Oryzias latipes: one gene and its partner. Each later gene encodes a partner of the first gene's protein in a complex. Links are inferred from orthologs where the notes say so. Each region holds a gene or a part of one and is shown in the gene's direction. Other genes may lie near its edges.

Region 1 (4,021 bases):
TGTGACAGAAAATACAACACAAGCTCCCTCCTCTGCTCCATTCTGATGCATGTGCTTGTAGATAAATAGATTGGGAGGACTGCCCGTCTCCCTTCCCATCATCCATCAGTTTACACTCTCTCCTGCTAGCTTACAGCCCCTCACACCTGCAACCTAACATAACCAGTACAACAAAAATGGTGAGCAATGTTTGAACTATCCAGCCTCAGCCAGATTCCAGCGCAGAGGAGGAAAACAAAGACGTACATGGATGTAGTTGTCTACAAATGGATGCAGCGGAGCTTGTGGCCCGCCCAGCGTATTTTCTACATTACAAATACGATCTTTTTCAGCTTTTTTTCCGTCTGATTCACAACGATTTGAATAATGAAATACTTAGAAATTTACGCTTAACTTTCTTTATGTATGACCTCCATCATCAGGAAAATGCCGCAAGAACATATTCAAAAAAAAAACACCCCAAACACCATTTTCACTGGAGTGGGTCTTTGCGAGGTCTGTAAAACGGATCTTTGTTTTTATTTCACTCACGCCAAGACGTTCCATCCTTAACGTCCAACTGGACAGCTTGGCGGGCCAGGTCTACGCTGTGCAGCACCTGCTTGCGATGCTCCTCCCCGTTGGCTGCTGGTAGCTGCCTCAAAACCATAGACAGATTGCGCAGAGACACATTGTTCTTGCTCTGTGAAGGTTTAGGGAAAACCAGCATTTAGTTAGTCACAAAGTAAGCTCTTCCACAAAGAGACAGATAGTTTCTGTTTGTTACAGCTGCAGCACCTGCTGCAAAGCACCAGTGAAGCAGTTTTTAGCTCCGATCAGGTCTTTCTTCTTCCAGTACTGCTCCCCCAAGATGTTCCAAGCCTCGACCAGGCTGGGGTCCAGCTTAACGGCACGGGAAAGGCACTCCTCCGCTCTGGGACAGAAGTCCGGAGCCACATTCAGACACCTGCCTTTCAGCAGCAAAAACCCGGCCTTGTTCTTAAAGCAGTCTGTTAATAGGAGGAAACGAAGGAGCCAGTTGAAAGGAGGATATTTTGCTAAATAAGTTGACAAAAATCTGTTTTTTAGAGCTGTATTACCCACTTTCTTTGTCCTCTAGCTTCTTCAGGGTTTCTTCCATCCGTCGGGTCACATCGCTTTGCTTCTTTCCAACCTGCTCGGCGCCGTGCGTCTCATAATAATGATCTCGGAAGTCGTAGAGGTCATCCACCAGCTCCTGCGTTACAGAGGAGGTGAGAACGTAACACTATTTTATAAACATTTATTTTAAAAAAAGTAAAGTCCCAATCCGATCCTTTTTTGATCTGTTGTAAAGGTGTTTCCAGGGGTCTTTTAAGTATGATTATGATCTTTTTAGCCAAAATCAAAAAATGTGTGATGTTTTCTAGGACAAAGTTTCTGCACAGCGGCAGGAGTTAGGAAATTTGCCTATGAATTGTCCAAGAGGGCCTTTAAGATAAATTACACAAAACTGTCAACAATAAAAACAGTTATTCGTGATTGTTTTCTGAAAGTAGGACTTTTGTTATTTTCATATTTGCCAAGTTATCTCCCATTTAATGAAATCCTACAAATTAAGAGCATAATATTTTGTGGATCTTTTAATCGTTTGTTGTTCCAACATTTCAGGTTAAGTTGTGTTGTTACTGAATACCACTACTCACCTAACACTTTCCTTTTTTTCTTTTTGGTTAAAGCTTTAATTTTTGTAACATTGATATGTGTTAGCTTAGTAGATGTGAACAATTGTAGCCAAACATCATCCATTCCGTATGGTTTGGTGCCTCAGTGATCCCTTTTCTATAGAAGATATATAAAACCTGGACTTCCAAATGTTTGGAACAAATGTGGAGCCACTTCTGTGGAAATACAGCAACATCAAGCACCGCATCTTTAGAAAAACAGCTGATTTCATCCACTGACTGAGACTGAGCTGCTGCTTAATCATGTGAGGCGCAGACGCGCAACACGGATAACGGCGAGATATAAATATCATAGTCTAAAAGAAACGACACGAGAGAAAAAACAAAGTCTCAAAAGACTGGAAAGACTTGCCTTCATCATTTGCTCCTCACTTTTGGGTTCATCCCTTTTCCCTTTCTCCTCCGCCATCTTTGACAAACTCACTGCGAACTGGGGGGGAACAAAGACTAACGGAGAGAAAAAAACACGGAGGCTAAAAACAATATGTTTAAACAAACGCACTATAACTGCAAGACTCAGACAAAAATAAAACTACGAGGAAAAAACAGTAACAAAAATAAACTGAAATCCTTGTTTTGTTTTTTGTTTTTTTGCATGACGGAAATGGATTTTCAGTGACGCGGGAAGTAGAAGCGGTCCTTCACAGAAAAGAGTCCGACAAAACAATTCATTTTTCATTTTAGGGGCAAAAATAACAAATTGTAAAAATATAAGTAACAAGTATACTAGTACAATATCGTGTTTTTTACATCTTGATAGTTGGTGTAATTATTAATACTATTGAGATAAAGCAGTAATTTTTCAGCGGAAACATTAACCGCAATCGAGTTACTTGCCCGAGACTTTTCTCTGGACCGGACATTCGGGGCTCCTTTAGGTGCCGAGGGTGATTTTGTTAGTTTGGAAGTTTCTTCATTTTTGGGACTTGCAACTGATTTCGTGTTGATTTCTCCAGCTCGTCATGTCGGATACATGGAGCAACATTCAGGCGCATAAGAAGCAGTTGGATTCGCTTCGGGAAAGGCTACAGCGGCGACGGAAAGACCCAACGCAGCTGTCCGCAGGTTAGGCTGGTCTCAGTCTCAGGGACACCATTCAATCACAACCTTTACTTTTTATCCTCTACGTTTTTGCTTGTTCATATAAATGATTTAAAATACATTTTATTGTTATAATTTCAAGTTAGTGAATTAACAAATAGATTCTCGCAGATAAAAAACTGATGTTTTTATTGATTATTTAGGTTATTATCTGAACTACAGCGACCAAACAACATAACGAAAGTAAAAACCTCTGTAAACAATTTATAGTATTAATTGTAAACACAAAAAAGCCAGTAAAGAAAATTTTTGTCTGTATATATACAATTTTATTGTGTTAATTTAAAATCTTTCTAATATAAAAATATTTGAAAAGCACATCTAAATGTTTTATTTCAAAACTTCCTCACAGTCTTTAGAAAGATATATATAGATTCTAAAAAATTATTTTAGGAGCAAAATCACAAATGTTGATTATTATAACAACTTTACAGTAAGTAGCTAGCAATTCGAGATTACTTTGTTTTCTTTTTGTTGTTGTGGTTTTTGTTTGTTTGTTTGCAAGTTGAACAATAGATTCCTTAAAATAAGTGGAAATAAAATTTAACAACTGAACAATCCTAAATGGAGCAGAGGAATCAAAAATTTTTTTTAAAGACCGACTCTGATGAAAATCATGTTATTGGGGGTTCTTCTCCTCATAGCGTTTTGCTCAGGATGTAGGGAAAAACAAGAAAACTGCTTTTTTGAGTATTTTTTATTTCCATGGTGATGGATCAGGAGGCTGCACGGTGGCGCAGTGGTTAGCACTCTTGCCTCACAGCAAGAAGGCCTCCGGTTCAAGTCCCAGCTGGGGGACATGAAAAACAACATCAACAGGGGGCTTTTCTGTGTGGAGTTTGCATGTTCTCCCCGTGTATGTGTGGGTTTTCTCCGGGGTCTCCGGCTTCTTCCCACCATCCAAAAACATGCTTCATAGGTTAATTGGTCACTCTAAATTGTCCCTATGTGTGAGAGTGTGTGGTGTGTTTGTGGACATTCTACCCTGCGACAGACCTCGCCCACAAGTGGCCGGGATAGGCTCCGGCAGCCCCGTGACCCCGAAAGGGAAAAACGGTTAAGAAGATGGATGGATGGATGGATCAGGAGCAGATAAAAACCCACTATTTGGAAAAGCTTTCAGTTGTGATGCAGCGTTTGAAATGGGCGGCAGAAAGTCTCCCAGCTCCGCTCCACTCTGATCCATCCACTGGCAAACAAGTAGATACAGTAACGTC
Region 2 (4,187 bases), on another chromosome or scaffold:
GCACAGATGTGGGGCTCCAGGGCGCCGTAATCATAGGTCAGGTCAGGAAGTGTGTGTTTCTGCCTTGATGATCCGACTTTCCAAGAAACAGTTTGGTGCAGGATTGATGCACAACTGAGAAGGGGGAGAAAAGGCAAAAAACTCAACATCGTTGTGGCAAATAACCTTTTTTTAGCTTGTGATTTTAGCTCAACAAGCCAGTGACATTTACCAACCAATTAAAGTAAGAAATAGAAAACATGAACGAATTTGTACATGCAATAATACTTAAACGCTTACACTATACTAAGAGTTGTTTTCGTTGTACGTCACAAGTTTTTAACTAAGCAGCTAAACCAGATTAGCATTGAAGTTAGCTAACAGTTAGCACAACAAAGCAAACAGTTTTCCACGCTGCTGATACAAGTATTTTCTTTTAGTTTTTGAACTTTACATAAAAATATAACGTAGACACATCTTACCTGCGCATTTGCCAGACTTTGCAAAGCATGTTTGCTTAAAGGTTAGAGAGCCAAGAAAAGTGAAAACAAGGCGGTATTACTGCCCTTGAAATGGGCAATTTCAACTTGACAGCGGAGTCGACCGTACCATTATCAGAATATGGGGATGTTATCGAAAATGGCTTAAATTCATATAAGCTTGAAAGGCAATATATACTATTTTTATATATATTTATAAGATAATAATTATATTTTCGGCAATTCAATTGCAACCAACGTCATCTTTTAAATTTTGAGATTTATTTCTCGGTCTTACCACTTTTCCTTAGCCCTGTCTTTTGGTAGATACCGAAGATTTATTGTAACATGGGGCCACATGTGTGCGAAAAAAATTTTTTTAAGCCCTTTTCGTTTATTGTACTCAAAATTTAATCATATTAAACTATACAATATTTGTAAGGTTGAAAATTTGTAACAACTTTGCGTCACGATTAAAAAATAACTATGTAACCATTGGAATCACGTGGTCTTTGCGTCACTGTGTTGAAATGGATACCAAAGATCGTCTATATCTACAACGAACCACTCTACATAATTTAAATGCGATCTGTTGTGATTGTAAATTTTGTGATCAAAGTAAATCCAGTTTTTTGGTTTGCAATGCAAAAAAGATGAAAAGACGCGTAAGGTTATGTCACATCAGCAAGGAAATAAATTAATTTCCCTTTCTTAGTCATTACAACATTTGAGAATAGTATTGGGTCAACAGCTTTGGATCGTTTTCTTTAGATAAACTAATAATGTAATACATCGCAAACCCAGAAACATTCAAGGAAAAACACAGAACTAAATGCAGTTTTAAATCTTAAAACATTTGATCACAACCATTTTGATTGTCCGGAATTTTAGGATCGGAAAATGTGAGCGTAGTGAGCAGACTTTTCTCTCCTGTCCACTGCTGGTATTACTCCGCAGAAACTCAAGTGCAGTGCAGCACCTCATCCTCCAGAGCCGTCCTGTTCTTCTCTCGGTAAAGGGGATGATTCTGAACACTTAAAGACGAGGCCACAACTTTTAATCAACCACCACTCTTTACGCATTTAAAAACAGTTACAGAGAATCTGTAAACCTCGAAGGTTTTTCGAAACATTGAAGCGAACGGGCCCGGTGAGTGTTATGATCGCGTAGGCCGCGTGACTGCAGCTAAGAGCCCGCTAGTTTCAGGAAAAGAAGCGCAGGGGTGGGAGTCATTTCCTTCACCGCCATTTTGTTATAACAAGAAGCCGAACATAGCTAAGTAATTATACACTTGATGCTTAGATAAACGACACGTTGAAAGATAACATCGCAGGTCTCTAAAATGTGTTTACGTCGCCGAAATGCTAAACGATTATTAGCAGTGAGGGGTTAACCTTGAGTACTTTTTAAAGGAAACCCTCCGCCGCTGACTGCAACAGTCGTTAGTAGTACTCGGCACGACATACCCTATTATCGGGTTATGTTCACTTTAGTTTCGCGGGTTTGTTGAATATAGCAATGGCAGTTCACTGTTGACACTTCAGTTTTGTCGGGAAGGCCCGTTTATAATAATTTTTGAGGGCGTCTGTGATCAAACGTGACGTCTAATATTTAACTGCGTGACGGCCAGCGCGAGGACAGGATGCCCAACAAAAAAAATAACACGTTTTCTGCTTATTTTCATTCCTAGAGAGCACAATGACCAACGAAGAACCTCTGCCCAAGAAGGTGAGTCTGATCCAGATTAAAACTACTCTTTAAGGGTGCTGTTGGTTGGTAATGGATGTCTAAGCAGCTTTTTGTTTATTCTATTTTTATTTTATTTTACAGGTTCGCCTCACTGAATCTGATTTGAAGACCTTGACCAGAGAGGAGCTGTGTACACGGTAAACAACAGCCCCTGTCCCCTCCTGTCTTCTGATGATGTTGAGCTGTTTACATGGATCTCATTCTCCTCAGGTGGAAGCAGCATGAATCATATGTCCAGGTCTTGGAGACTAAATATGCAGAGCTGTGTTGTAAGTTCACTTAAAAAATAGATCTAGCCCGTTGCATCGCAGAGTGTCGGCTGATGAGTTTGTTTCTCTTCCCTCCCATCATCCACCCCCCTCAGCCAACGACGTCCCGGGCCTGAAGGAGTCTGAGGAAAAGCTAAAGCAGCAGCAGCAGGAGTCGGCTCGGAGGGAAAACATCCTGGTCATGCGACTTGCCACCAAGGAGCAGGAGATGCAGGAGTGCACAGTAAGTCTCTCGCTCAGGTTTTTAATATGCAACACTAAAAAGATGAGTTGTTCTAAAGTTGCAGCACCTGGAAGAAATATTTAATGCTTTCTGTATCGTTACAGTATAATTTCTAAACATTTTTCTGCCTTTATTAGATAGAAAGTTTGAAGATAAAATGTTAAAAGCATAAGAATCACTAAAAAAACTTGACAAACCTGAAAGCATCTGTCTTTAGGGGATAAAAACACCAAAATATTAGATTCTTTTTAATTAATATTTCTTTTCAAATTGCCTACAAGGTGGGGGTTGTTTTTTATTTTGGAGTCTATCAATTTACCAAGACACATGTTAAGGATTTATAAATTGCATGAAAGGGAATGTGTGTTAATGAGAACACATCTTGGTTTGTAATCATTCTAGATGAGAACAAGTTGTGGTGGTTTGCAAGCTTTTACATCCAAATATTTAAAGTATTTTCTTTCTTATCACTTTTTAGATGTGGATACTGAATCGCCTGTTTGCTATTTTAAAACGACACTAGAGTGAAAGCAGCTTTTACTTAAAGCCTCGGATGAAAATTGTGTTTTTGACATGTTCTTGTGGGGTTTTTCTAATGGAAGAGGACATATTTAAAGACAGTTAGGCTTAAAGTTGCATTTCTAAGTATTTCTTTATTCAAATCATGAATCAGGAGTGGTTGGTAAAATTCTGCTACATAGGAAAATAGACTGATCTCTGATCTGCTGCATTCTGATCCATCCACTTGTAGGCAGATCCACGTGCGTCTTTGTTTTCCTCGCCTGAGCTGGCATCAGGCTCAGAACTCGTCTGGAAGGCTCCAGTATTGCTCACGATTTTTGTTGCGCTGGTAATGTTAGGTTGAGTCTGTGAAGGGCTGTAAGCTAGCAGGAGAGAGCGATAACAAATGGGTGGAGAAGCAGAGGCAAATTTCTAACGAACAACTGCCTTTCTGCAGAAAATATGTCCTTTAAAATAAAGATATTTTTTACATAATTTTTTTCTACAATTACTTTGTTTTTATATTCTATTTCCTTTTAAGATTACAATGCTATTGTAACACACAAATTTCCCATGTGTGGGATCAATAAAGTGATTCTGATTCTAAAAACAACATAAGCGTAATTACAAGACCACTGGGAAAGTTTTTAAAATCACTCAAAAGAGGATCGAAGTGGGACTTAAAACTAAGCGTCTAGACGCAGATTAGCCTAGATTTTGATCTATTTGAAAGCAGTTTTGTTACATTTTTAAAGGGAAGATGTTTAGGTGTTAAAAGCAGCTTCATAATGTGTGTGACTGGACTCTAACACCTGCCTGTTGCCTCCTACAGACACAGATCCAGTACCTGAAGCAAGTCCAGCAGCCGAGTGCAGCCCAGCTGCGGTCGTCCATGGTGGATCCAGCCATCAACTTGTTTTTCCTCAAAATGAAGGCTGAACTGGAACAGACTAAAGACAAACTGGAGCAGGCCCAAAATGAACTGAG

What was found.
Region 2: mettl3 (region 1) and wtap share a complex: the UniProt entries of both Homo sapiens proteins name them as parts of the WMM complex. The link is inferred for Oryzias latipes from reciprocal best matches to the Homo sapiens genes METTL3 and WTAP.

Annotation. Positions count from the first base shown.
Region 1 is NC_019876.2:17,637,147-17,641,167, reverse strand, and holds the start of mettl3 (N6-adenosine-methyltransferase catalytic subunit), read left to right. Parts: upstream 1-1,216; 5' UTR 1,217-1,232; intron 1,233-2,055; coding exon of another isoform or gene 2,056-2,112; exon of another isoform or gene 2,113-2,318; intron 2,319-2,449; exon of another isoform or gene 2,450-2,581; intron 2,582-2,659; 5' UTR 2,660-2,665; coding exon 2,666-2,768; intron 2,769-4,021. Other genes in the region: ttc5 (tetratricopeptide repeat protein 5), read right to left, coding at 532-682, 778-989, 1,084-1,216, 2,056-2,112. UniProt on the Homo sapiens protein: The METTL3-METTL14 heterodimer forms a N6-methyltransferase complex that methylates adenosine residues at the N(6) position of some RNAs and regulates various processes such as the circadian clock, differentiation of embryonic and hematopoietic stem cells, cortical neurogenesis, response to DNA damage, differentiation of T-cells and primary miRNA processing.
Region 2 is NC_019882.2:7,325,451-7,329,637, reverse strand, and holds the start of wtap (pre-mRNA-splicing regulator WTAP), read left to right. Parts: upstream 1-1,387; 5' UTR 1,388-1,470; exon of another isoform or gene 1,471-1,607; intron 1,608-1,660; exon of another isoform or gene 1,661-1,737; intron 1,738-2,148; 5' UTR 2,149-2,156; coding exon 2,157-2,186; intron 2,187-2,288; coding exon 2,289-2,344; intron 2,345-2,417; coding exon 2,418-2,476; intron 2,477-2,571; coding exon 2,572-2,699; intron 2,700-4,032; coding exon 4,033-4,187. Other genes in the region: sod2 (superoxide dismutase [Mn], mitochondrial), read right to left, coding at 1-114, 462-490. UniProt on the Homo sapiens protein: Associated component of the WMM complex, a complex that mediates N6-methyladenosine (m6A) methylation of RNAs, a modification that plays a role in the efficiency of mRNA splicing and RNA processing.